7 linked regions of the Rattus norvegicus genome follow. The main gene of each other region encodes a partner of the protein of the gene in region 7 in a complex. Links are inferred from orthologs where the notes say so. Each region holds a gene or a part of one and is shown on either strand. Other genes may lie near its edges.

What was found.
Region 1: Dhx16 (region 7) and Cwc27 share a complex: the UniProt entries of both Homo sapiens proteins name them as parts of the minor spliceosome. The link is inferred for Rattus norvegicus from reciprocal best matches to the Homo sapiens genes DHX16 and CWC27.
Region 2: Dhx16 (region 7) and Rbm48 share a complex: the UniProt entries of both Homo sapiens proteins name them as parts of the minor spliceosome. The link is inferred for Rattus norvegicus from reciprocal best matches to the Homo sapiens genes DHX16 and RBM48.
Region 3: Dhx16 (region 7) and Eftud2 share a complex: the UniProt entries of both Homo sapiens proteins name them as parts of the minor spliceosome. The link is inferred for Rattus norvegicus from reciprocal best matches to the Homo sapiens genes DHX16 and EFTUD2.
Region 4: Dhx16 (region 7) and Cript share a complex: the UniProt entries of both Homo sapiens proteins name them as parts of the minor spliceosome. The link is inferred for Rattus norvegicus from reciprocal best matches to the Homo sapiens genes DHX16 and CRIPT.
Region 5: Dhx16 (region 7) and Rbmx2 share a complex: the UniProt entries of both Homo sapiens proteins name them as parts of the minor spliceosome. The link is inferred for Rattus norvegicus from reciprocal best matches to the Homo sapiens genes DHX16 and RBMX2.
Region 6: Dhx16 (region 7) and Snrnp200 share a complex: the UniProt entries of both Homo sapiens proteins name them as parts of the minor spliceosome. The link is inferred for Rattus norvegicus from reciprocal best matches to the Homo sapiens genes DHX16 and SNRNP200.

The regions. Positions count from the first base shown.
Region 1 is NC_086020.1:37,706,539-37,710,693, reverse strand, and holds the start of Cwc27 (spliceosome-associated protein CWC27 homolog), read left to right. Parts: upstream 1-1,355; 5' UTR 1,356-1,415; coding exon 1,416-1,457; intron 1,458-4,155. Other genes in the region: protein SREK1IP1, read right to left, coding at 780-792. UniProt on the Homo sapiens protein: As part of the spliceosome, plays a role in pre-mRNA splicing. Probable inactive PPIase with no peptidyl-prolyl cis-trans isomerase activity. As a component of the minor spliceosome, involved in the splicing of U12-type introns in pre-mRNAs.
Region 2 is NC_086022.1:31,512,734-31,516,726, forward strand, and holds the start of Rbm48 (RNA-binding protein 48), read left to right. Parts: upstream 1-1,193; coding exon 1,194-1,304; intron 1,305-1,788; coding exon 1,789-1,979; intron 1,980-3,984; coding exon 3,985-3,993. Other genes in the region: peroxisomal ATPase PEX1, read right to left, coding at 751-879. UniProt on the Homo sapiens protein: As a component of the minor spliceosome, involved in the splicing of U12-type introns in pre-mRNAs.
Region 3 is NC_086028.1:88,343,358-88,347,615, reverse strand, and holds the start of Eftud2 (116 kDa U5 small nuclear ribonucleoprotein component), read left to right. Parts: upstream 1-1,458; 5' UTR 1,459-1,511; intron 1,512-3,163; exon of another isoform or gene 3,164-3,242; intron 3,243-4,258. UniProt on the Homo sapiens protein: Required for pre-mRNA splicing as component of the spliceosome, including pre-catalytic, catalytic and post-catalytic spliceosomal complexes. Component of the U5 snRNP and the U4/U6-U5 tri-snRNP complex, a building block of the spliceosome.
Region 4 is NC_086024.1:13,340,135-13,344,146, forward strand, and holds the start of Cript (cysteine-rich PDZ-binding protein), read right to left. Parts: upstream 2,801-4,012; 5' UTR 2,738-2,800; coding exon 2,722-2,737; intron 215-2,721; coding exon 149-214; intron 1-148. UniProt on the Homo sapiens protein: As a component of the minor spliceosome, involved in the splicing of U12-type introns in pre-mRNAs. Involved in the cytoskeletal anchoring of DLG4 in excitatory synapses.
Region 5 is NC_086039.1:132,769,395-132,772,007, reverse strand, and holds part of Rbmx2 (RNA-binding motif protein, X-linked 2), read right to left. Parts: intron 1,244-2,613; coding exon 1,114-1,243; intron 1-1,113. UniProt on the Homo sapiens protein: Involved in pre-mRNA splicing as component of the activated spliceosome. As a component of the minor spliceosome, involved in the splicing of U12-type introns in pre-mRNAs.
Region 6 is NC_086021.1:134,880,956-134,884,972, reverse strand, and holds the start of Snrnp200 (U5 small nuclear ribonucleoprotein 200 kDa helicase), read right to left. Parts: upstream 2,801-4,017; 5' UTR 2,691-2,800; coding exon 2,646-2,690; intron 2,231-2,645; coding exon 2,067-2,230; intron 297-2,066; coding exon 125-296; intron 1-124. UniProt on the Homo sapiens protein: Catalyzes the ATP-dependent unwinding of U4/U6 RNA duplices, an essential step in the assembly of a catalytically active spliceosome. Plays a role in pre-mRNA splicing as a core component of precatalytic, catalytic and postcatalytic spliceosomal complexes.
Region 7 is NC_086038.1:2,873,252-2,876,751, forward strand, and holds part of Dhx16 (pre-mRNA-splicing factor ATP-dependent RNA helicase DHX16), read right to left. Parts: coding exon 3,265-3,500; intron 3,158-3,264; coding exon 2,954-3,157; intron 2,873-2,953; coding exon 2,678-2,872; intron 2,569-2,677; exon of another isoform or gene 2,361-2,568; intron 2,097-2,360; coding exon 1,986-2,096; intron 1,877-1,985; coding exon 1,761-1,876; intron 543-1,760; coding exon 332-542; intron 158-331; coding exon 59-157; intron 1-58. UniProt on the Homo sapiens protein: Required for pre-mRNA splicing as a component of the spliceosome. Contributes to pre-mRNA splicing after spliceosome formation and prior to the first transesterification reaction.

The sequences.
Region 1 (4,155 bases), on a different chromosome or scaffold from region 7:
GGCTTCATAAATATTTTCAGGGCCTTTCCTACAGTACTATGCATTGTGAATCTTGGAGATGTAAGGTGGGTATATCTCTTAAAAACACCTGCCCGATATTAGGGTTTTTGCAGAAACACATTCTGACAAGGCCGGCTTGGGGAAGTTCTTGAGGCTCCCCAGTAAACTGGAGCAGCAAACAAAAACATCCCCGGAGCCCAGTGTGCCGTGTCTAGGTTAGAAACCTCTGAACACCAAAGTGGAACCTACAAAAGAATCTTTGATACAATTCAAGGAAGCGCCTTCTTGAAACTAAGAGGGAAACTGAGGCCCCAGAAGGGCACAGAAACCGGCCTACAGCTACACTGTAACTAAAGGCTGGAAGAGCTAGGACAAGCCCCAGGTGCACTTCTTGACTGGATGACTTTCACTACAATGTACCACCTGGATTCGCCAAAAGTTCACACTTCGAATTTTATTTTGAAATTCAGTGAAAGTTACAGTCTTACGGGCAACTTGTCCCCTTAGGCCTACAGTTCTCATTGTCACCAACTCTCTTGTCCCTCTTACAATACACTTTCCCTGTAATCCTGTGCAGTTTGGGCTTGCACAAGAATGACAGAGATGATCTTTCCCAGCCCTCTTTGAACTTGTAGTGTAAACTTTTTCATGTAAATCAACCGATTCTAAATTTTCAGGCCTTCGCCTGAATCCCCAAGTGCTCCCTGCCACCCCCGGTCCTGGACTCCCCTGCTCGCCTCATTCCTCTGGAGTGAGAGAGCCCTGCGGTTGATCTTCACCTGGGACTGCCATAATGCAGGTGAGTGGGGTCACCGGAGTCCTGAGCTTTCGAGATCGCGTTTCGTTCAGGTCCTTAGCGAGGACAACGCACTAGCAGAGGGATCTCTCCCACCCGGTCACTACAACTTCACAGGGCAGGAGAAGGCCGGATGCACATCCAGGGTTGGCGGAACTAAGAAGCTGCGGACCCAGTTTCCAGGGGTGTCCTACCGCGGAGCACACGTGGTCTGAACCATTTCGGCCAGCTTCCGGAGGTGAGTGCTATCTGCAAACACCGGACCTGGACGCAGCACCCGGATTTACGGATTGGCCGTTTAGCTAGTATTATGAATGACACGACAAATTCTCTAAAGTTGCAGAGGTCTTATAGTCTTTTCTAGTTTCCTGAAGAACAGGGACATCCCCCCTCCCGGAGTTAGCGGTGCTGCGATCCGGGAGCAACATGGCGACGTCCATGAGGGGATAGTTTGGGGGAGTAGCTAGTGCTTAGTACGGTTGTCCTGTCTAACTCTGACCGAGTAAAGTTTTCCCCAAGTACCCAGGTAAAGAATTGTCTACTAACAGGTGGGCATCGTCAGAGACCCGCCATTCGCTCGCGGCCACACTAAGGAACGGAGTCTTGAGCAGTGAGCAAGATGAGTAACATCTACATCCAGGAGCCGCCCACGAATGGGAAGGTGAGAGCCTCTACCACCTGGACATCCTAATTAAGAGCAACCTGATTGGGGGTGGCAAGGGAGTTGAAAGACCAAAAGGACTGCCCTCCACATCATGCTTATGGCCACTGTTGCATTTATACTATTTACAGTGACATGTCTCAGCGTATTTTTGAGAGTTATTGAGCAACTTCTCTATTCGCTAGTCTTCTGACCCCTTAACTTCCTTGATCCAACTCACGTGAGCGCCTTCTAGTGTCTGTTGTTTTTAAGACTTACGTTAAGATTGTTCATTTTTTTAGTTGTTTAACTTGGAGGTCGCGCATTCTCTACCATCATTTATTGAAGGCCTCCTTGGCACAACGCACTCTACTAGGTGCTGATGATACAAAGCAAGGTTGGTGTGCTACACACACACACCCCCACCCACACACACACACAAATATATATATATACATATATATATATACATACATATATATACACATATATACATATATACATATATACATATATATGTATATATATATACACACACATATATATATATGGCTAGCTGCTAATTCCCTATTTCAAAATTACAGGCGTGCATCGACACACCTGCCTTTGGTTGGGAAGAATTGAAGAAGATTATATTGCCATGATAGTAAGGCGGAGTGAAAAACAGGAAATGATGGGGAAAACATCTTGGAGGACATATCTTTTGAGATAATTGTCAGAGGCAGCGGGGGAGTGAGGAATATTACTGGGTAGGAATGGGAATCGATTCCCTGATAGGTTTCATACCGAGCTATATTTCTAGAGGACAATATTAATTTTAACTAATAAATGCTCGTAGAGATAAAATAGACTGACCATTTATTCCCCAATGCAGGACCTTAACTTTTGCTGTTCATTTCTCTAGTATGCTATTTTATCTGTTCAAACGTCACTCTTAACAAAGAGGCCTATAAAATAGCAAATCTCAGTGATGCCCTGGGTCTCAACAATTTCCAAGTATTTAATAGTATATTACTTTTGTTTCTTTCCTATATAGAATGCAAACACTATCAGTGAAGATAAACATCTAGAAACAGTGATTCTCTACCTGTGGTTTGTGACCACTTTGGTCAAATAACCCTTTTACAGGGGTTGAATATCCGACATCCGACATATCAGATATTCATGTTAGGATTTATAACAGCAGCAATATTACAGTTATGAGATAGCAATGGAAATAATTTTATGATTGAGGGTCATTACAACATGAGGGATTGTATTAAAAGGTCACAGAATTAGGAATTGAGAGCCACTGACCTAGAACATTGCTTCACATACACTGTGGAGTTCATGCACTATGAAAGAATAGCTAGGCAGATGAATTAATACTATGTTTTCTTTAGCTTCTGAGAGGTATTGAGCATAAGTAAGGGTGAATCATGCCCAGACTTAGTTGTTTGACACTTTTAAGAAATAAAAGAGGGTTTCATATGAGTCTTTAGCTATGCTGGAACTGGTTGTTTACTGTAGGAAATGATTTGACACATTCATAGAGTAAAAGCATTTCTGAACAGGAGCTCATTCCTTCAACAAATATTTTTAAATTGTGTATATATACATGAGGTGTGTGTGTGTGTGTGTGTGTGTGTGTGTGTGTGTGTGTGTGTGTGTGTGTGTCTTGTTTTGAAGAGTTAAAATAAAAACTTCATAAAAACTGCAAAAGAACAGCAGATAAGGGGACAGGACAGAGCTGGCCTGAGATGTGCCCGGCCAAGCCTAAAAACAAGGTCAAGGGATTGTTCCAGGAAGGGGGCCATCCGGACGTATGACTCCCTGCTCTACAGATAAAGATAAGACGTTCTCCTATATTGAGAACACCCCAGCCCGCACGTACTGCTTGCAGATGAGACCTTGTACCCATTTCCCTTGCTGATAACCATGCGAAACCCCCTGGCTTCTCCTATATAAACCCCTGCCTGAAGAGGCTCGGGGCCGATTCCTCTGTCTCCTGTGTGAGATAAGTGTCGGTCTGGGATCTCGTTAATAAACGCTACCTCTTGCTGTTACATCAAGACCGGCTACTCGCGTTTCTTGGGGGCACCTCAACCCATGACTGGAGCGAGGGTCTCCCCAAGTTTGGGGGTCTTTCAGTTTCATGGTTGTCCCACTGCATACATTAGAAGGTTCAGAGTATAACTTTAGATGATGGCCCTCATCTTCCACTTAGTTTAAGGCAGTGTCTTTTTGTTGTGTGATGCTGCCTATGTCAGCCTAGCTGGCCTGTGTGTAAGCTTCTGGAGAACCTTTTTGTCTCCTCGGCTCAGCGTAGAGTGCTGGAATTAAAGACACATGTTATAGAACCCACATTAAAAGAAAAGGAAAAGAAAAGAAATCACACACACAGAGTCTGGGTACTTGTGAGTCATTCTTTTATTTTATGATCCAAGTTTTAATGATTAGTTACATGGGCCTATGTTACCCAGATTAACTAGGCCAGCTTTCACAATTGCCATTTGAAAGATAACATTACTAATGTAGAAACTTCATCATGAGTCGTGGTGCTTATCTTAATCAAAGCACTTGACAGGCACATCTCTGACTGCAGGGCCACCCTGGTCTACAAAGCAAGTTCCAGGGCAGCCAGGATTATACAAAGAAACCCTGTTTTAAAAACAAACAAGCAAATGTAACAACTTGCTAGGTGTGGTGGTATACTCCTTTAGTACCAGTACTCAGCAAG
Region 2 (3,993 bases), on a different chromosome or scaffold from region 7:
TTGGTGTGTTTTGATAGGCGGACTGTAAAAGCAAGATAAATCAAAGAGGAAATAAAGGTGGAATACAAGTCATTTCAAACTCTTGGATATTTCTTTTATGAGCCAGTATTCCGCTACCAAGCACCTAGGACTTTAGATTTCAAATAGTCTAACCCCATGAATACACTCAAACTAGAGAGTCTGTGCTCACTCTTAATAAAACATGGAGGCTGTCTCTCCACCGATGGAGTAATCCTGGCTTCGCAGGTGAAAGTACGAGGTGTGAATAATTCCATTGCCTTGTCACCCCCCCACCCCTTGTGGTGTCCGAAGTCCTCCTAAGCAGGGAGAGCTGTCACTTTATTAACCTTTGGCACAGGTTGGAAACCTTGGTAATCTACCAATCAAGTCTGCCACTCAATGCTTCTATGGCTGCACTGGCAACTTGTTGGCAGGATAACGCTTTAGCAAAACCAGTAAGAGCTCTCTAGAGCTTTCCATCCTAGAGTGAGGACCGCTTCTGAATGCTGAGGCAGAACCCTAGTATGTTCAGTCTGGTTTAACCGAGTTAAAAGGGTGCCCAGTAGGGTCTGGGGATGCACTAGTCGGGGTGTAGGTGCACACACTGCCTCCCCACGCCATGCCCGCAGAGGGCCCTCGCTCACGCCTCAGTGCGGGTTCGGTGGCAAACACTGTCCGGACCGGGAAAGGTGTCAGCGAACACTAGTCCCACAAGACATCGATGGTGTCCGCGTCCGGTCATCGCGTTACCTGCAGCAGGTGAAGCTGGGCCACGAGGTGCCGTGGCAGATGGAGGAAGCAGTCCCGAGCATTCGTGAAGGCCACCGTCACGACCGCCCCACCAGACCCCGCACCGGCTAAGCGATCACTGCTCCACATTGTCCCAAGGTTCAACTCTCGCCGGAGAGCCGAGTCCGCCGGCTTCCCGTCAGGCCAGGGCGTCGGAGCCCGAGAACATCGATCGGGGCCGCCCCCCTCTTCACTCGCCTGACCGCTGTCACTCTCGGATCGCTCCTCCGAGGCTCTAGGGGGCGGCACATCGCTCGTCGAAGTCTCGCTCTCCGGAAACAATCGTCGATGGGGTCGATCCTCCAGCCAATCCTAACACGCTTGGCCCATACTGCTCTCTCATTGGACACAAAGGAGCACCGCTGGCGGATGTTGTTCTGGCGCGGGGGCTTGAAGCCGGCAAGATGGCCTCCAGTGACGGGAAACCCGGTGGCATATTCGACCACCACGTCCAGACAGCTGTGTGTGACTCGCGGGCCAAATACAGGGAGGGCCGACGCCCTCGCGCGGTCAAGGTAGAGTGACTTGGGTTCCTTCTCTCTCCTCGGCAGGAGCATTAACTTCCTGTCAGCACTAGCTCTCCATGGCCTGCCTCCATAAAGGCACGGCAGGGATGCTGTCAAGTCCATCTCTCAGTGGAGGGGGCACGAGGAACAAAGTTTATCGCTGTTGTCGGTTTACTGCTTACTCCACGATTTTTAGCTTTGCATCCTATAATACAAGGACAAGGTCTCACAGGACAAGCCCTGTTAAGTGACTGTTTACATTAGCTTCTCTGGGGTCAACTTTGGGAAAAGACGTCTGTTTAGTCAGATACCCTTATGTGGAGTGTGTTATTCTTTAGGCAGAAAGAGTGACAGTTTTGTGTGTATGTTTTGCAGACCATATTGAGCAGAGTATTTCTTGTTTTCAAAGCTCCATTTAAAAGAGGGATGGGAAGACAGATTTGCCATAGGCTTGTTTGAAGAGTACGTTTAACGGGCTCTCCCCCGACTTTAGGTATATACCATCAATTTGGAGTCTCAGTACTTACTAATACAAGGAGTTCCTGCAGTGGGAGCCATGAAGGAATTAGTTGAGAGATTTGCTCTCTATGGTGCGATTGAACAGTATAATGCTCTAGATGAATACCCAGCAGAAGATTTTACAGAAGTTTATCTCATTAAATTTGTGAAATTACAAAGTGCAAGGTATGTACAAGTTAAGCAGAACTCGCGTCTTCTATTCCTGTTGCCGTCATTTCGGCCTCAGGATTTCCCAAACAGACCCAAATCACATGAGCACTTCTCACTCTCAGTCTTCCTGATTTGGGGGTTGGGGAGCAGGGTTTATTTGAATAGCTTTAGCTGTGCTGGAATTAGTTCGATAGACCAGGCTGGCCTTGAACTCAAAGAACCCTTTGTCTCTGCCTCCCGAGTGTTGGGTCCAAAGGTGTGCAACACCCCATCTCGCCTTCTGGTTTAGTTTTTACCAGGCCTCACATATGCAGTCAGTCACTCTAACAGTGAATGATATCCCAGCTCTTCCTTCTGATGTTCGAAAGGCTGACTTTACAACACTTTTCCCATCCTGTGCTTGATGGTTTCTGAACCTGGAGTGTGGTAGATTTGGGAGATGAGGAATTACATTTGAAGCACATTTCCAGTCCTATGGCTTCCTGACTTTGGAGAATTTTATTCCTGCCAAGCACATTTTTTTTTCTTTTCCTAAAATCCACAGGGCAAAAAGGTCTACTTCTTGAGGTTCACTGAGGAAGGATGAAATGAAACAATTTATGTAAAAGGATTAGACTGGTACCTCCTATTAAGAGTAAATATTAGAGCCAGGCAGTGGTGGCACAGGCCTTTAATCCTAGCACCTGGGAGGCAGAGGCAGGTAGATTGAGGTCGAGGCCAGCCTTGTCTACAGAGCTAATTGCAGGACAGCCAGAGCTACCCAGAGAAACTGTGTCTCCAAAAAAACAAACAAACAAACAAAAAAAACCAAAAAACAAAAACAAAAAGTAAATATTAGTAATGACAGTTCTTATTAGTATGGTTCTATGTTAATCAACCTTGTATTCCAATAAGACTGAAGTCAACAATGCTTTATTTTATGTTAACCCTTTGGGTGGGGGAGTGTGTGACTGTAGGTGGGTGCACGCCTGCGTGTGTAAAACTTGCTATGTAGGCCAGCTGACTAGAACTCAACTTCCTCCTGAATCTGCCTCCCCATCCCCACCAGGTTTAAAGACATGTACCACTACAGTGTACTCTACCCTATGTTTTGAGACGAGACCCTTATTGAAACTAGAACTCATGGCTAGATTGGTTGGCCATCAGGCTCCAGTGGTCTTACCTTCTCTATCTCGCCAGCACAGGGATTATAGGCACAGTACGGTGCCTAGTTTTTATGTGCACGCTAGGGATCTGAGCCTAGCTACTCAAGCTTAAACAAGTACTTTTTCAACTGAGCAGTCTCCCTAGCTCATGTTAGCCATTTTTTCTTTTTAATCATTAACATGATCTAAACCATATCCTTCTCTGGCTTTTGCCATTTATAAATGTTTTGGTGGAAAAGGGCTTCAAATCCTCTGGCACTGGAGTTACAGGTGGTTGTAAGCTATCCAAAATGGGTCTGGGATTTGAATCTACTCTTCCCAAAATCAGCAAGTGCTCTTATCACCCACCTAATTATCCCTCCAGCCCCTGTGTTTCTTTTGTTCGCTACTCCTAGTCCACCACAAAATCACTTGACTTCAAAAGGCCATGTGCCTTTTCTTACCAAGTGGGCAACTCTTCGTGGTATAGAGAGCAGATTCTCTAGCGCCTTGTATCTCTACAGACCCTGATACAGTTGGCTTTGGAGTCAGCCATCTGAGTTGAATCCTAGTTTTATAGATGAATGTATGTGACCCAGAATTTCCCGGTGCCTTGGTTTTACCATGAGATGGTTATGAGATGTCAATTTAAGTGGCACACTTGTGGCTTTGCATGGAGTAATCGCTCAATAAACATTAATCATTATCTGTAGATACAGAAGTACTTAATTACTTACAGTGCTTGGTTCAGCATAGGTGTTCAGCATTTCTTTTTTAAACATTATTATTTCTCTTATTTTTATGTGTATGTGGCGTGGCTATTTGTTAATTGTTTTTGAACCATGTAACTTATGCATTTCTTTAGCATTCTCTTTAAGTTATGCATTTCTTTTTAGGATAGCTAA
Region 3 (4,258 bases), on a different chromosome or scaffold from region 7:
GCTGGGAATTGAACTCAGGACCTCTGGAAGAGAGTCGGTGCTCTTAACCGCTGAGCCATCTCTCCAGCCCCAAATTTATTCTTTTATATTACGAATACACTCGCTGTCTTCAGACACATCTGCTTCTAACAATATTTTAAACACTAAGGACTGGCTCAGTGGTAGGACTTTGCCTTGCAAATGCCTTGGGTTTGATCCCTAGCAAACCACAAAACCACAACACACACACAATCTGGTGCTTCAGCTGAGGGGGCAGTTTGGAGTTCAGATTTCTGATTCTTCATTCTTTCACCTAGGACTTCTCTATATCAGGTTATTACCATAAAGGAAGGAACACACAGAGAGAGAACAGAGAGAGGAGGGGGCTTCTTTTATTATCTACTCCTGCTCAGGAACAAAATTTCACACTTCACTAAATGTTTTTAATGGAGAAAAAAAATCACCTAGACCCAAAGCAATGGCAACGCAGGAAGTTGAGAACTATCAGAGGGAGAAAAGCTCAGTGGCCTTCCTTCCCAAATCCCTGACCAGGGGAGGGCTGCAGGCAAATGTGTGGTGGCATTATCTCCAGTCCTACCACTGAAGTTCTGCCCCCTTCTGGTGGTATGTGTCCGATGGGGCTGTTTTCACAGGAATCTATGTGTGCCTGTCTGGGTTCTGACATTTACTTATGATACCTCTTTCCACCTCAGAATCCTGGTGAGCGGGTGCTGCATGCTGTAGTTCACTCAGGATCAGCCAGCCCTAGGGCAGGAAATGAGCTGATCCGCAAGCAAATCCACAGCCATGCCGGATCCCATCGATGGGAAGTGGAAAGCCAAGAAGTGGGCTGTGTTAGCCAGCCAACAATTGTACTCAAGTGTCTCAGATTCTATGCAATATTTTGGGGTGGGGGAGATCTCGCTATGTAGCCTAGTTCTCTCCAAAACTTCTGAGCTCATGATGTTTCCTCTAGGCTCAGCCTCAGGAGCGATAGAGACTATAGACTCTCTCCATCCCGCCCACTTCCCTGGCTAGTTCTAAGCCTTCCCCTAGAGTAATCCCCTTTACTGTCCCCAAACCCTCACCCAGTAGCCCCAGTCTTGGACCTTTTGCTTTCTTTTGAAAAAGCCCCTCGATCTGTTAGAACGAACACCTTAGAGGATCGCCCAGCCAACAGCGGTTGTTGCCTAGCAACGGCGCCACTAGCCCGCCCACGTGACCAGCCCGAAGGCCCTCCCTTCGGGCTGTCCCAAGGCGCCTGATCAGATCCGAGACTCCTCCGACCGTGCGTTTTTCTGAAACAGTTCACGCTTCGTTTTGAGGATCAACAAATTGGCTTTTCCAGTTTCTGTCTCCAAGCCAAAATTCCTCGAAGCTGCTCCTCAGGCAGAGGGCTGTCCTGCGAGGCGAGGCGATCCGGCGACGCGCTCGGGGTCCTTCCTGGCGACGGGCGCCGGCGTTGTCGCGGCGTGCGGCGGAAGCGCGGGCTCAGGCGGCGGACTAGTGGCCCTCGGCTGATCAGGCGGCGGGTGAGCTGGCCGGGAAGGGTATTCTCAGGGGTTGGGGAACCAAAGAAACCCGAGTTTGGGAAGAGGCGAATTATGCCTTTCGCTTAATCAACGCGTAAATTGAATTCTGGCGTGGGGAAGGGAATGAAAGACACCGACCCCCAACACACGCTCACACGGTCGATTCCAGCGTTTCCGTGGTCCCCGGCGTGGTTAAGATCCTGTGCCTTAGTAGAGGTGGCGCTGTAAATACCCAGACCCCTGCCACTCCCCCTTCTATCGGTCCCTGCTTCACAGCCAAACTGTGTCCGTCTTCAAACTATTCTGCATCCAAGCTGGCTGTGATAGCTGGTGCCTAATTCTTCCTCGCTGGAGATAGAGGCAGGAATATTGGTGCAGGTTCAAGGCTAAGCAATGGGTCTGGTTCAAAAAGCCAAAACAGAAAAGATTTCAGCATTCCTTTGAGGATCTGTGTTGTAGCGGGAAGATGCAGTTCTAGTATTAGGGACTAGCTTTACTTAACTAAGCATGTAACTAATTCATCCTCCCACCCCCAACAAACAAAACTAGCAAAACGTATTGAAGGCCTGTTTTGTCCCAGACACTACTGTCATTTTTTGCTCCGATTTTTATTATTAACGTTTGTCAGTAGCAGATATACACCCATGTATTCCTAAGTACTACTCAGGCATAACCTTGATTTATTAGGCTGGGGGTGTAACTCGGTGGAGAAGTGTGAGGCCCAGAATTTGATCTTAATCACCCGACCACACACTAAGATTAGTGTAAGGCTGGGTTGACAGGTGTATGTGGAGGGATTTTTAGCGTGGCAAATAGGTGACATTAAAGGAGAGGGGTGAGTTAAATGAATTAAGATATAAATAGCCAGAGGACAATGGGAATGACAATAGCCCTGAGGCAGAGATGAGCTTGGCTTGTTGAGCAAACAACTTTCTTTGAAAATTTGTGCCATTTTCTGGTGGGAGTCTTGAGCATAATTGTGGTGGCCTCTTAGAACTAAAAACAATAGTTACATCAGAGTCTCCATAATGACTGACATTTAATTACCAGTGATTAGCACTCTAATTCTGCATTTTATTTATAGTCATTCCTCACTGAGGTATTCAGTCTACAGTAAGAAATAACAGAATTTCAAAACTGAACATTCTACTCAGTTAACCTTACTCGGTGTCTGTTTGTGCAAGGTGCTGCCTAGGGTTTTGGCGTGTGAACACATGCTCATGTTTTATGTTAACCAACATTTGTTATTTGTATTTTTTTGGGGGGGGGGTTCTTTTTTTCGGAGCTGGGGACCGAACCCAGGGCCTTGCGCTTCCTAGGCAAGCGCTCTACCACTGAGCTAAATCCCCAACCCCTTTATTTGTACTTTTTGAGACAGGGTCTCTCATATCTCAGGATAGGATCGTGGGTATAAGCTCTCATGCCCAGCTAATCTTACGTTGTGTGTTTCTCTGTGAGTATGTTTGCAAATCTCTCTGGTGAATGAGGATCAGGTGTGCTGTGGCTTGCAGGCAGAGGTCAGAGGACAACCTTCAGGGTTTGTCCCTCCACTCCTGACCTGTTTTGAGATAGGATCCCCTCGTTACTGCCAACACCAGACTGACTGGCTCTGAGCCTCAAAGAATCTCTGCCTCCCATTTCCTGTAGGAAATCGCAGACACTCACACTACCAGATGGGGCTTTTTCGTGGGTTTCCAGGATTGAACCCAGGCCGTCAGACTGCATAGCTAGGTACATTCATCGCCTTTCTAAGGTCTTAGGCTGTGATAATTCACTCTAGGGAGGTAAATGCAGTTCCACGAGTTAACATCATCGTTAGAGATGAGGCTGAGATACGATGATGGAGTGAGGTCGATGGAGCGAGGTCTTTAACTCCAGGGGCCTGATGCTTTTCCCCTGCTTCGGTTTTTGTTGCTCACAAACTGTAGAGGAGTTGTTGGTGAGAATAACAGTAGTCACCTAGCATTTGGGACAGAAGATACTGAAGAGAGTGAGAAGTGAGAGGCTGAAGGGCTAGGAAAGCTTGAAGGGTGGGATCTAAACTGTTCCTTTGAGCAGGATATCAGTCACTGAAGTGGGGGAAAAATCCACTGGAATTGCAGACAATTGTAAGCTAATGTGTGGATGTTGAGACTCGAACCTGGGTCCTTTGAAAGAGCAGTAAGAACAATGAGTTCTTAATCATCACTAAGGGAAAATGAGTACTTTTATAACAAGCATGTCCGCTGTCAGCATAGTTGAGGGCACAGCGAGAATCATCAGTGAGGAATGGTGTACCGCTAAGAGCAGATGCAAATCCACACGAAGGGATTGCTGATACAAAGCATTGCTTTGTGGTCTGAAAATGTCAAGTCGTGAAAGTCAAGACTAGAAAGCCATTCTAGATTAAAAGGATAAAGATACCTCAGGGTGTGTACAGTCCTGGTTTATGTCCTTAGCTGTATAATTCATGACTGGAACAGTTTTTCAACTTGGCATTAGGTAGAATAACCTGCTGGTATTGATGTTTTTGTTTTGATGATTGTATTGTGATATTTTGAGAACTTTTTTTTTAAAGTAAGATGCTGGAAAGATGGTTTAGAATTTAAGAGTAACTTCTAGGCAGCCATGAAGACTTGGAGTCAGATCCTAGCATTCACATGGCAATCTTCATGTTCCCAAAGGATCCAATGCTGTCTTTGGAGACATGTGTATAAAATTATACATAGACAAACAGACACACACACACACACACACACACACACACA
Region 4 (4,012 bases), on a different chromosome or scaffold from region 7:
GATATGAATTCACAGGGGAATCCGGTCCTCTTTGTGTTTAATGGACGAGAGAGTCATCATCTAACACTGCACTCTGCAAACAGTGAAGCCCTAGAGCTGTGTCCACAAGCACTTGATCCAGCTCCTGTTTCCTACTGGCAAGCAGTACCTGTGGTGTTCCGGGCCCCGTCCTTCCATGTGTCTGGAGTGATAACCCTGCCGAGTTTCTTTTCACCTGTTGTAGCAAGATAGCAAAAGAGTACAACTGTCATCTAATACACACACTGTGTGGAAATAAAATAACAAAACGCATTTCTCTGCTAACGTTACAATAATAATTTAAAATAATAAATATACTGTATTATGCCTGAAGTACATAATGACATGAAAAGTGAGACTACAGTAGGAACCTACTAACACCAGGGTAGAAATCAATGAATGAATGATAGCAACTGTGGGCAACAGATACTGGTTCTAAATAAAACTTCCAGGACAACAAGATGCCCTACCAACAGGTTCCACTGATTATACTTTAAACAATTCTGACAAACGTATTCATTTCTCCCACATTCTCTAATCACCTAGTCTGTACAAAGCACTGTGGGAGGTACTGAGGAAAACAAAGCCATGAGTCTAGATTCAGGGGCTTAGACCCAAGTTCACGAGCTCCTTAAGAGCTTGTAGGCTGATAGCTGGGAGGAAACGAAGCAGGCGGGACTGCACAGAAACCTAGAGCATGTGCTTATAACCTTTTCTTGTTCTGACTGGAGCCTTTCTGAAAAGTGAAGAAGCCTTCAGTAGAACCATAAGCTGGAAGCCTGAGCTGTGAACTAAGGAGATGGAGCTTAAGTGTTGGGAAAGTAGATGAGGAGATGAAGTCAAACAGTAAATAAAGGACACATCCCCAGGTCAGGCATGGGAAGCTCAGGGGTACCACAGTGCACAGAGTACTCTGGCGAGCTCAGTGTGAGGTGGGAGAAAGGAGGTTGGAAGGATAGCTTAGGTGTTTGTCTGTAGAGGGCCTCGGACGTCAAGATCCAAATGGACAGTTACTTCTTAGAGTTTAAGTAGGGAAAAGGTCAGGTGGAGAGGTGAACTGGATACTCAGTGGTATGGATGTGCTAGCTGAGGTCAACCATTTCCCAAAGATCTAATGGATCAAGAGAAACAAAGCAGACCAAGACAAACACCCTGGAACCCAGTAAATGGAAGAGAACTCTAAAAATTTGGAGACAAAGAACTTTTTGAGCAACTTATGACAGAAGGAAAGGCAGAACTGAGGTGGCTGCCTGACAGTACAGCTTCTGTATGAGCAGGAGTTCAGTTTACATACAGGGTGAGTGTAATGAGCACACAGACTAGGAGGTTACAAATAGTAAAACATTAGATTTTTCAGAAGAGCAGAGGAGTAACTATAATAGAAAGAAATGGCCTTTTACTGCACAGCACAAAGGACAGGGTCATATCTACATTTAGGCCACATTTAATTAAACACTTTCCCCACTTTCAAAAAGAATAAAAAGCTGTTTGAGAATGGAGCTGATGAAGGTAGCTAGGAGTGGTCTTCCCGAGGGAAGGGCATACCAATTGGTTGTCCAGTGCTAATGGTCAGCCCGGAAACATACATCCAAGTAACAATATATGAACTGAGCAGGCTGCATTTATAAAACAACTATATACATGTATGCATTCAATACAATTAGTGAAAAAAGAGGTCAGGAATTTGATGGATATATGGGAGAGTTTAGAGGGAGGAAATGGAAGAAAGAAATGTTGCAATTATATTATCTCAAAAATAATAAAGAAATAGAATTTACTGGAAAAAAAAAGAATGGTGGCTGAGTCTGATGCCACAGCTACTAGGTGGTGTCTGTGTCCAGAGTTCTATGTACTGTGGTTGTATATATTAGCCATTAACTGAGATCCAAGTTGGAATCTTGTCAGAGAAGGCTGTCTAGCCCAAGAAAGAGATCAAGAAAAGAAAGCTGTTTTAAACAAATCAACAGCTTTTGCAGTAAAAAACAAAAAACAGAAAACGAAAAAACAAAACAATAAGTATTTTCAACAAATCTCAGGGGTTTCATTGGAATTACTGAATGGTAACTTAAAGAGTTAAAAAGACCTTTCTAAAAGCCAGGGATGACTACATAGATTTCTTTGGTGGTGATGAGACTCTCTCCTTCACCTGACCTAATGCTGTATTAATGAACTGACGGGATGGTATAAGATATTCAATTAAACTTAATTTCAGATGACCACTGAATTAATTTTTAAAGTAAAATCTGTATTAAATGCGGCATGTTTTGTAGTAAGGAACAGCGAACAAAAGCCAAGATTTAAATATTATGCGGGACATATTAATAATACTAGAAATTAATCATTGCCTATAATCTTATAATGTAACTGAGAGCCTGGGATTTATATTTGTTACACCTGGCAACTCTAGATGCTACCAGAAAGATTTTTAAGTCTCTGGGATCCTGTCAAGAAGTTATAATTAAAGAGATCCAAGGAGGGCGCGAGGACGGTGACAGAAACAAGCATAGATGTGCAGAACTGAGACCATTCTGAACACAAAGCATAGGGCTATAGGGTCCCGGGATAGGCAAGGACCGTGGGGCAAGGAAGGAAGACAAAGGTTATACTACAGACCGGTGAGAAAAAACAAAGGCCGAAATCCCAAGAGAATTTCGTCGGGTTCCTCCAGCCTCCACCTCCCACAGAAGCAGCGCCTTAACTTACACTTTTCACACACCATCCTTCCACGGGTCGTCCTGTCCCCCTCAACCCGCAAAGCAGGAGCAGCTGCCAAAATACATCAACAACACAGCTGAGAAGACTTCCTCTTCCGGTTACGTCAGTTCGCTTCCGTACTCAGCCCTCCCGCTCCGGCCTATCCAGGATGGAGAAAGTCGCGGGAGGGATAAACGCGAGCTCATGGGCGGGGCTTCCTTTATCGGTCCGCCTCTTCTCTTCAACGATTGGCTATCCGCTTGTGAGTCCCCCGCCTTCTGGTCTGCGCCTGCGCGAGGGGCCATGGCAGCCTGTCGCACCTGAGGGTGGGAGGCGGTGGTGTCCCCTTCCCTTCGGCGGGCGGGAGAGTTAGGTAAGCGGGAGGGATGCTTCCTAAGTTCTCCTGGGGCAGGTGCAGGTCGCTCTGCGGACTGCTGCCGTGGCTTCCAAGGCGCCACGCTTCCGGCGGGCCAGAGGATGCATGGCGCGACGGACCCTCTGAGATCCCGGCGTCTGTCGGCGGGACCGACCCTCTGTCACCGTCTCTCAGGTTACCGGGTCGGCCGCCCGGGCTCTCTCTGATGATGCCCCTCAGTTGCCCACACTCGCGCTGTCCGGGGTTGGGACAGAGTCACCTGGGTGGGGTTGAGCCGCGGTCAGCGCCCGGGCAAAGGCTGCTCAGGAGGGTTCGGGAGCAGCCATGCCTTCCCACCGGGCTCTCGTGGGATCGCGACTCCGAAGGGCGGCTTCCCAGGTGTGGCGTGCTAGGGAAACTCGCCCGCCGGTGCCCGAGGAAGGGCTCCATTCAACCGGCCTTTGCGTTTGGGCACGGCTCGCCGTGTTAGATAGGGATTTGCAGGTGGCCCAGAGACAAGCTCTACTTAGAGGATGGATTTCTGATCCCCCTACCTGCCCGATCCCTCAGTGGAGGGGAGAATCTGAGAAACTTTTCCGAAGTCTTTTCATTGTTATCCGTTCTTGTCCGGACCCCGGAGGGTGTCTTCATGTTAAAGAGGCGATACTTGAAATGGCTTTAGTGTGTGTAACCTTGGCCGCTTCTGCTAACTTGTTTAGCCGGTTTGCTTAATCAGTACCATATTTGCCTTTGAAAACGATAGTGTGAATTAAATGAGGGCAAATAGGACAACGCCCAGACTTGCACTTTTACGTTCCCTGTTAATTTCTCCTCCTTTTGTGTGGATGTTCCTTTTTGGGCCGGATTTTTACCACATTGTAACAATTGCTAAAGTTCTTAATTAATTTTAGTCAATATAACATAAAAAATGTTCTTTAGGTCAAA
Region 5 (2,613 bases), on a different chromosome or scaffold from region 7:
GTGTATACATACAAAGTTATACACATTTAACAAGAAAACATGCCCTAGGAAATCATGAAGACAAGAAACATGAAATTTAATGCTATAGTTGCCTTTTCAACAAAGTAAGAAGGAGGCAAAATAAGACCAAGGGAACAAAATTTTTTTGTTGGTGCTGTGATTGTGACGGTGGTAGGAGCGGTGGCTGAAGCGAGGGTACTGAGCTCAGGGTCTTGGATATGACAGACAGGCACTCTTATCACTGAGCTATATTCCTAGCCCTATTTCCTTTTCTCGAGCTCTCATACCTTTTTCTTCTCCTACTGATTATTGGGCTGTAAGTTAAGAGTTTTCCAGGTGAACAACAATAAAATTAATCCTTTGCCCTTTAAATAATCTATTTTCAAGCAGACACATTACAGATTACTATGCGGGCAATATCATCTAAAACCTAAAGATTAATTTCACTGTTCCACTATTTATTTATATCTTATTATAAAGATATATTTTTATTTATATCTTTAAGCCTGAAAAGCTTCTGTCATTTATTCTATTTCTCATTTTCATACTTTTCTGAAAAGGCAATTTTCCTCTGATGATTCCTTCTGTATGCCACTTACTTAGAATTTCACAATAGCTTATTTTTATAGAATTGGTCACCAGAATTTTTTAACTAGAAAATTTCTAGGAGCCAATATATTAAGTCACAGAAATCATAGACTAGATATACATGGCTCTGTCTTAATTCCTAAAGCCATGATGAAGCTCCCAGTTCCCTTACACAGCACAATATCCAAGAGCTGTGTTTCCAGTCTCTTCATTCTCTAGTGTACTAGAACAGATGGAAAATATGCATTAAAAACATCTGCCAGATAAGGGGGCACAGACCCATGTTTCTGGAACAACAGTTTGCTAACACACAGAGAAAAGGAATGATTCCTGGCAGGTGCATGAGACAGAAAATGTTTTCCTGGAATCATTTCCTATCCAGTCTGCCTGAGTACTTCTACAACCCCCACAGTACACCCAGCTGAGCAGTACTATTCCTGCAGCTATAAACAGAAGGCAAAAAAGTGAAGCCTCATCTACCCACAGGACAAGTCCAGCCAAAGACTACACAGTGAGCTCACTTACCTTAATTCCATTAAAATTGTCAACGGCCAGAACTGTGCTCCTCTGATCTTCATAGCACAGGAAACAGAATCCTTTGGATTTCCCAGTCTTCTTGTCTCTCACAAGATTAATGTTGACAATCTCTCCATACCTATTTATTTTATAAATGTTTTATTCATTTAAAATGTAAAAGCTTTCATACTGAACGATCAAACAAAACTCATATAATAAAATACTGTAAATGACATAGTAGATTGAGTATAGAGTTAAACTTGTTAAAAATAAACTCTAATATCTATACTATATACTCAACAGTCACTGTAATAAAACTAGAAATAATATTTTAAACAAAATCCTGCTACTGGAGCGCCAGAGATGACTCCATAGTTAAAAGCATTGGCTACTCTTCCAGAGGACCCAGGTTCAATTCCCAGCACGCACGTGGATGCCTACAGCTCTCAGTAGCTCCAGCTGTACAGAACCCTCTTCTATCTCTCAAGATACAGAAATGCATGCCAGCAAAAACATCCATACACTCTTTATAATTCTTAAAAAACCCACTGCCAACGTATAACTTAATAGTTGGATGAACCAAAATTTAAAATGTCAAGGGTATACCATTTAGACATTTTAAAAACATTAAAAATACACGAAATTTTGTAGGATATAATCCAGCTATACTCAGGGAAATCTGTAGGCCTAAAAAATTTGATTCCTTAAAAAGAATGAATATAAAATAAAACAAACCTAACAAAGACAAGCTTTAATAAAGACCAAAGCTTTATAAATTAAGTCTTAAAATAAAACAGAAATTGACCTATAAGTTACATGATTATACCAATCCAAAATCTAGTATGTTTCTCAATGCAAAATAGTGAATGTGATTCAACTAAGATGGAGAACTAGTTGACAGTATAATGAGGTACAGCCAATGCAATTAGATAAAACGGATAACAGAAATGGAGAAGTAAACGTGTCTCTGTTTGCAGATTATATACAATAGTATATATAGAAAATTAAACAGCATCACTGATAAACAATGAAAAAAAGCAATTTGGTAAAATACCAGGACAGAGTTAAATGTCAGTCACCCTTTATATACAAAAAGTAATCAGAAGATATAATGGAAGGGAAATCCCCTTCATAACAGCAACAAAAAAGGACAAAATACTTAGAAATAGACCCAATATATAAACACTATACAAAGCCTATATGAAGAACTCTTTTAAATCTCCAAAACACATAAACATACATTTTTAGAAATACATTCTTTTTCTTAGATAGGATGACTCACTATTAGAAAGCTGTCAAAATCCCCCAGAAAGTTAATAAAAAATATTAATATAATCCCAATAAAAACCCATTTAACCCACTACCTTAGTGTTAGGTGACTTTAATCAAGATCAGAACTGGGTGGTGTTGGTACATGCCTTTAACCCCAGCATTTAGGAGTCAGAAGCAAACAGATCTCTGAGTCAAGGCCAGCCTGGTATACAGAATTTTACAGGAGAACCAGGGCTA
Region 6 (4,017 bases), on a different chromosome or scaffold from region 7:
CCTAGCAAGCGCAAGGCCCTGGGTTCGGTCCCCAGCTCCGAAAAAAAGAAAAGAAAAAAAAAAAAAAAAAAAAAAAAAAAAAAACTCCTCTATGCCCTTCCTCTTTCCTCCTCGGTGGCCTCACCTGATCCCCGAGAGCAGCCTGGATGAAACTGAGCAGCACCTCATAGGTCTCCCGGGTCTCCTTCGTCTTGGGCTTATAGATGATGCCCACCATCTCATCAATGCCCTCTGACAGCAGAGTATAGCCTTTCATCTTGTTGATGTCGTGTCGGTCCTCATCACGTTTTCTCCTCCTAAAGGACAGAAAACATGAGGCTGAATGGGAGGACTTTCCATTCCCGAGCAAAGCTTACCCTTTCTATACATCTACTCTGTGAAGGCAGGAAAATGAGTGAAAAAAAATAGCTCCTACCAGACCTTAATTATTTGAAGAAGCACTTCTTTATGTCCCACATTTATGGGATACTTCATATGGGACATTCTTATAGAAAGAAAATATAACATCATCTGATAAGCTGTTACAATGAAACACGGTCTCCATTACCTTTAAATGTACACCTTTTTATAACCATATGAGGAGACTATGTAATATTATTTATAACCACATGAGGTGACTATGTAATATTATTTATAACCACATGAGGAGACTATGTAATATTATTTACTTTTATAACCACATGAGGAAACTATGGAATATTATTTCCTTTTTTTTTAGCCTTAGCTACACCCATCACATTTTAGTAGTAAGAGAAACTAGGCTCCAGTGGAATCTACTTCTAATGACACCCAATAAATAACTAGAAAAGATGTCAGGCTCTGGAAACTGAAAGACCAATATTTGAGCTCTTCTAAAACAACCACTCAAACCAAACAGGGCCAAGAAGAGATGGCTCAATGGTTAAGAGCACTAACTTCTTTTCCAGAGGTCCTTAGTTCAATTCCGAGCAATATATGGTGGCTTATAACCCTCTGTAATGGGATCCAATGCTCTCTTCTGGTGTGTCTGGAGACAGCTACAGTCTTTTTTTTTTTTTTTTTTTTTCGGAGCTGGGGACCGAACCCAGGGCCTTGCGCTTCCTAGGTAAGCGCTCTACCACTGAGCTAAATCCCCAGCCCAGCTACAATCTTAAGATAGCTACAGTATACTCATATACATAAAATAAATCTTTAAAAAAAGAGATAGAGAAAAAGAGAGAAAACACATTTTTTTGGAAGGTGGAGGCACATGACTTTAATCTCAGTGCTCGGGAAACAGATGCTGATGGATCTGAGTTTAAGGCCAGCCTGGTCTATAGATGGAGATACCCTGTCTTGAAGGAAGGAAGGAAGGAAAGAAGGAAGGAAGGAAGGCAGGCAGACAAGCAGGCAGGCAGGCAAAACAAAGTAGTATTTAACTTTTGAAATGAATCCACCAACATGAAAAGCTGACAGAAATCATCAGGAAGTGATAGGCAACAAAAGAAGAAAGGTTGGGGAGAAAAGTTTCTAACAATGTGGTGGAGCTGAATTACTGAGAGATTAACTAGAGGCCTGAAATAGTAGGAGCTGAATTACTCAGAGGAGATTAACTAGAGCCCTGAAATAGTCAGATAGCCAACTGGAGAGAAGGCTCAAGTAGTCTGACGCCAATACTGCTTTCTAAGAGGACCCAAGTTCAGTTTTCAGACTCATATTGGGTAGCTCAGAACCTCCCGTAATTCAAGTTCCAAGGGATCTCAAACCATCTTCTGGCCTTCACATAGGCATTTGCATGCATGTGCACAACACCCCCACCCCATACACACACACACACACACACACACACACACACACACACACACACACACTGAAGAAAATTAACATCTATGAATAGGAAATATGTCAGTAAAAGGTATCAATAGATTTTGTTCCACTTCATTACACCTAAGTTCAAAGAAGTTTTAAACCTTGAAGAGGTTTCTGCTATGTTGCACACACATCACTGATCTTCCATACAAACTTCAGCAAAACTACTGCTCTAATGCTAAAGATGGGCTTTACATTAGCTGAAAAAAAAAAAAAAAAAGCATCCCCTTGGTACTTACTTGGCCCGTCTTTCCTCCTGCATCTGTGGTTTGGTCCTTTGAGCCTTATCTCCCATTCGAGTTCCCTCCAATTTCCCAACCAGGGACAGAACCTCTCCTGTCGGTTCATCCCGGCGGGTCCGGTCAATGAGAGAGCGGTCAGCTTGGAGCACAAGATTTGAGTTCTGAAAAGATCATACTTTATCAAAACTTTGACATATGGTTTTTGAATCCTGTTATTACAGTGACACCAGAAAATGGAAAAACATTGGAATAAAAGAATAATGCTCTTAAGAATAGTATGTCATTGCACTATGCATGAGCACTGTACTATCTGATAAGGTGAACGACCAGCGTTCCTAACAACATCCACAATAGCCCACATTTGGGAAAAATGTTGGGCAGATCAGGGGTAACGAGGAGACAGTTTAGCGGGGGGAGGGGGGGACGGGACTCCTAAATTCTCACGTCCCTCAATCTCCACTAAGGATATTCCGTCGTGTTTTAATACATCCTTCACCCAGCTCTCATTTCCCCATCAGTGTTCGTGACTATCCACGACTTCCCTTGCCCGCAATCCTACTCCGAGACCACACGTACCGCTTTGTACTCGTACTGCAAACTGCGGGCAGTCACATCCGCCATGGCTGCCGGTGCTCCGGGAACTCAGGGTTCCACTCTTCCTCACGGTGCGAACCGCCTGTGCAAACCGCTCTGGCCCAACAGGTACCACGCAGGACAAACGTACGGGACGGAGAAACGAAACGGACTTCCTTCCGGTTCCGGGACGCACGATAAAAGTGAGACTTTCCGGCTATTACGCAAGACTTCTGGGCGGAGTTTGTGGACGATAGTACATCCGGGTCACGAATTCCATTGACCGACTAGGCACACGCGCGTGCGAACTATGGTTCCACACATCTATAGGTACTACAGAGCCAAGGCTGAACCCCCGAAAAGTATGATGTTAAAAGTCCCTTTCTGTAATACTTTTGGTTTCTCATACCAGCCGTTCTGTGAGGCAGGCAGCAGGCTTGCAAGGAATGGAAACTAAAGAGCTCCATTTCTGGACAAGGAAGCTGAAGGTTCAAGCAAGTTGGCATGTCTAGTAACTAACTGGATTTCTCTTCTGTATTGAGAAATTGGGGTAACGCTCGCTGTCCTATTGAACTCATCTTAGACTCGTTTCCGTAAGACTCTCCCCTGTGTCAGCTAACTGACAGTAGAGGAAAAAATATTTGTGCTCAATCATCTGACACAGCCTGTGTCAGGATTTTAGGTGTGCACAATCGTGCAGATTACAGCATATAATTTTGTCCTCAATGTGGCACGAACGTTTTACTAAAGAAATATATGAAAAATAAGTTATGTGTATAGAAATACTATTCAGATTTATTAAGCAATAGTGGTACCTTTTATGTAAAGGTAGTATTTAGTCTTTTAATAATTCTCTACACAACACTGAAAGCAAAACAGCGAGTTCTACTTTTCTTTTATGTTTAATAAGCACGAGTGAACCTTAAGCCTGTGTCTTAATCCATCGAGCCATTTTGCTGACTTTTTTATTATTTGGTTTATCATTTACATTTTATTCTTTGTATCTGGGTGTTTTGGCTTACATGTATCTTTGTGTCTCATGTACACGCAGACCTCCAAGATGCCCAGAAGAGGGTGATAGATTCCCTTAGACTGGAGCTACAGATAGGTTATGAGTTGCCATGTGCGTGGTGGGATTGGAACCCAGGTCTTCTCAAAGAGCAGCCAGTGTTCATACCCATTAAGCCATCTCTTTAGCTCTTGTCTGGTTTTTGAGAGAAGATCTTCTGTAGTCCAGGAGGCTTCAAACTTGCTATCCAGAGACTTCTCTTGCCCTCTCGATCCTCCTGCCTCCAACTCATAGACACTATGGCTGCAGCCCTGGGTTGCTGTGACCAGCTTGTATCTTATCATATTTAATAGCAGCATGGTAACC
Region 7 (3,500 bases):
CACACACCAGCCCCATCCTCCCCGAAACACTCCAACCACTTCCCACCACAGTACTCACCTGTCCCGTTAGGAACACCAGTATATCCCCAGGGGGCTGGGTCACATGGATCTGCAGCACAGACACCACACAGGCTTCCAGGTAGTCAGCCTCTGGGGCCTGGGAAGGAGGAAGACACAGGGTCACAGAAGGGCCACTTGCTCAGGCAGGCTCTTGTCCCTGCTCAATGCCCACCCCTCTCTGGGTGTCCATTAGACCCTTCCATTGGGACATCCTCCTAAGCCAGCCCCAGCTCCTCTGCCTCACACGGAAGCCCATCCTCCCGAGGGGCACCTTGGTATAGAAGATGTCAACTGGAAACCTGCGTCCAGGGATTCGGAAGACAGGGGCATCATCGAAGAAGGCAGAAAAACGAGCAGTGTCCAGTGTGGCCGAAGCCACCAGGACCTTGAGCTCAGGTCGGAATCTAGCAACATCTTTGATCAATCCAAAGAGAATGTCTGTGTGCAAGGTCCGCTCATGAGCTTCATCCACCATCACCACACTGGGGAGAAAGTGGGAGATTGGTGAGGGACAAGCGGCAGGGGCTTAGCAGTGCAGGGCTGGATCAAAGAGAGGGATGGAGGGACCTCAGGGGGAAAGGGGACTGAGTGGGAGGAGGCTAAGGAGAAGTCAAATGTTCCAATTACGTAATGTTGGCAGATGGTGAGCATGGTGGGGGGTTCTGTGATCTGCGGCCCATCCGGGCACTGGCCAAGAGAAGCAGTCAGGACGGGGCTAGTAACATGGCTCAGCGGTAAATGTGCTGGCCACCAAGCCTGCCGACCTCAGTTTGATCCCTCGAATGCACATGGTGAAAGTACAGAACTGACTCCTATAAGCTGTCTTCTGATCCCCTACATGTCCACACATACACACACACAAATATATACACACGTGCACACATACACACACACATATACACATACATATATACACACATATGCACATGTGCGCACATACATACATGTACACACATACACACATACATATATATACACAACTGCATACACACACATACACAAATGCACATACATATATATACATACACATACATACACACAAATACATACACATACGTGTACACATACACACACGTACATACATACATACATACAAACACAATTGTATACATACACATATACACATACATACATACATACACACATACATACATATATACACACCATAAGTACACACTCATACATACATACACACACACACATATACACACACACACACAATTCTTTTTCAAATATAAAAGAACAAAGAGGCAGGGAAGAGTCTAGATTCCTTTAACCTAGGATTAGAACAAGTCAGACATCTCTGGATCAGTCAAGAGACAGCTGTTCTCACTGGAAGAAGTGGAACTAAGAACTTAAAGCAAACAGTGCATGGCCTGGTGGCTCTTCTTGTACTCTCAGCAATGTGACCCACGAGACTGAGGCCAGCTAAGGTTAGATAGTAGATTCCGGGCTAGCCTGGGCTACAGAGAAACCCTGTCTCAAAACACTAAGAACAGATAAGGGCCACCTGGACCCATTAGAATAGAGAGAGATTAAAGGAAGCGAGAATCTCTGAGGGGGAGGTGGGGCATCTTGTGCAAAGCATACACACACACACACACACACACACACACACACACGCACACACACACACACACACGCACGCACACGCACGCACGCACACGCACACACACACGCACACACACACATGCACGCACCTGTAACTTGCGAGGTCAGGCTCAGAGAGGAACTCCCGGAGTAGCATTCCATCTGTCATGTAGCGGAGAACAGTTCGCTCTGATGTGCAGTCCTCAAACCGGATGCTGTAGCCCACCTGGTCACAGACAGTCAAGAGGTTGGAATGACCGATGACCAGACCTGAGGTGTGGGGCCATGCCAGCAACGTAAGAAGCTTCCCTCTCACGAATCCCCAAAGACCTCACCTCATTCCCAAGCTTCACCCCCATCTCCCGGGCCACTCGGGCTGCCACACTCATGGCCGCCACTCTCCGGGGCTGGGTGCAAGCAATCTTCATACCCTTCTTGGTGTAACCCTAAGAGGAGAGAAGGAGGGGTTACTCCTCTGTTAGACATGCTGTTGTGAGCCAGGCAGGGCAGGGAAAGGAGAACAGATGGGATGAAAGCCAGAGAAGGACAGACAGACAAGAGAGAAGCCAAGGGCCCCCGGGGATGCTAAGCCAGCCTGCAGACCTTGGCTTATAGGCAGGGCTCTGCTGGACTTGAACTGACCAGGGACAGATTGGCCGAGGCATACCCAGAAGCAATGGGAGACATGCGGTTAAACAGTAGGAAAACACCTTTTACTTTTAGTTCTCTGGCCCCTGCAGAGGGAAAGCAGGGCCGAGGTCGTGCGGGATGGAAGCCCAAGAGGTTCCAATCTATGATGCTCATCTCACTGCTCCCATGGGAGACCTGCACGTTCACAACTCGTACCAGGTATGGATGTGATGGCGGGGAGAACAAAATGGTAGAAAGAGTGGCCTCGTCAGTCTCAAAAGCCTCATGACTTAGCAGAAAGGACAGGAAAGGACATCTTTACCATCACACAAAGGGGGTCTCCCAGGACTGACTCAAGGGCTGAGTGGGCCCTAAGTGACATGCTGTAACGACTGACCTCCTCAAAGAGGTACTGTGGGATCTGTGTGGTCTTCCCTGACCCAGTCTCGCCCTCGATGATGAGGACCTGATGGTTGGCAATGGCGGTCAGGAGCTCCTCTCGGAAGGGGAACACTGGCAGGCTGCGGCGCACGGCCTGGATGGACTCCTTCTGCTGGGCCTGGGCTGACAGGGGCGGGCCTGATGACGGCTCCTGAGGAAAGGACAGAGGTGCTGAGGTCCCCACCACCTTGAGAGGCCCTCCTGTCATTACCCCGGACTTTCTCCCTCTCACCTCGTCGCCCTGGAGCTGAGCGGCACGGACGAACTCGATGGTCTCGTCCTCCTCCAGCACCAGCTGGTACTGGGGTTCCTGGGCAGCAGCGTCTCGGGCCCCAAACTTGAGGGATGCGGCGTCCAGACGGGCCTCCTCCCAGCGCCGCTGCTCCTCGCCCGGGGCCCCTGATTCCTCCTCGACGATGTCGGTGGCTCGAGCGGGCTACGGGGAGAGCAGCCGAGAAAGCTGAAGAAGACCCTCCCCACCACTGCTTCTACCAGTTATGAACAGGAGAGGGAAGGGAGCAGCCACCACACCGGTTCCCTCACCTGTCCTCGAGTCTCCTTGGGCATGTGGTAGCGATTAGTGGCCTCCAGCTTCTCCTGCTCGCCAGCCGCCCGGTACTCCCGAGCCAGGTCCCGCACACGCCGCTTGTACTTGAGCTCCCGGCGCTCATGGCGGCTCAGCTCCACGTCCCCAAACAGGACCTCCTCATCAGCCAGTTCTGCCTCCAGGTCCTCCAGCTTTTCCCGCTCCCGCTTTGCCAGGTATTCCCGACGAGACT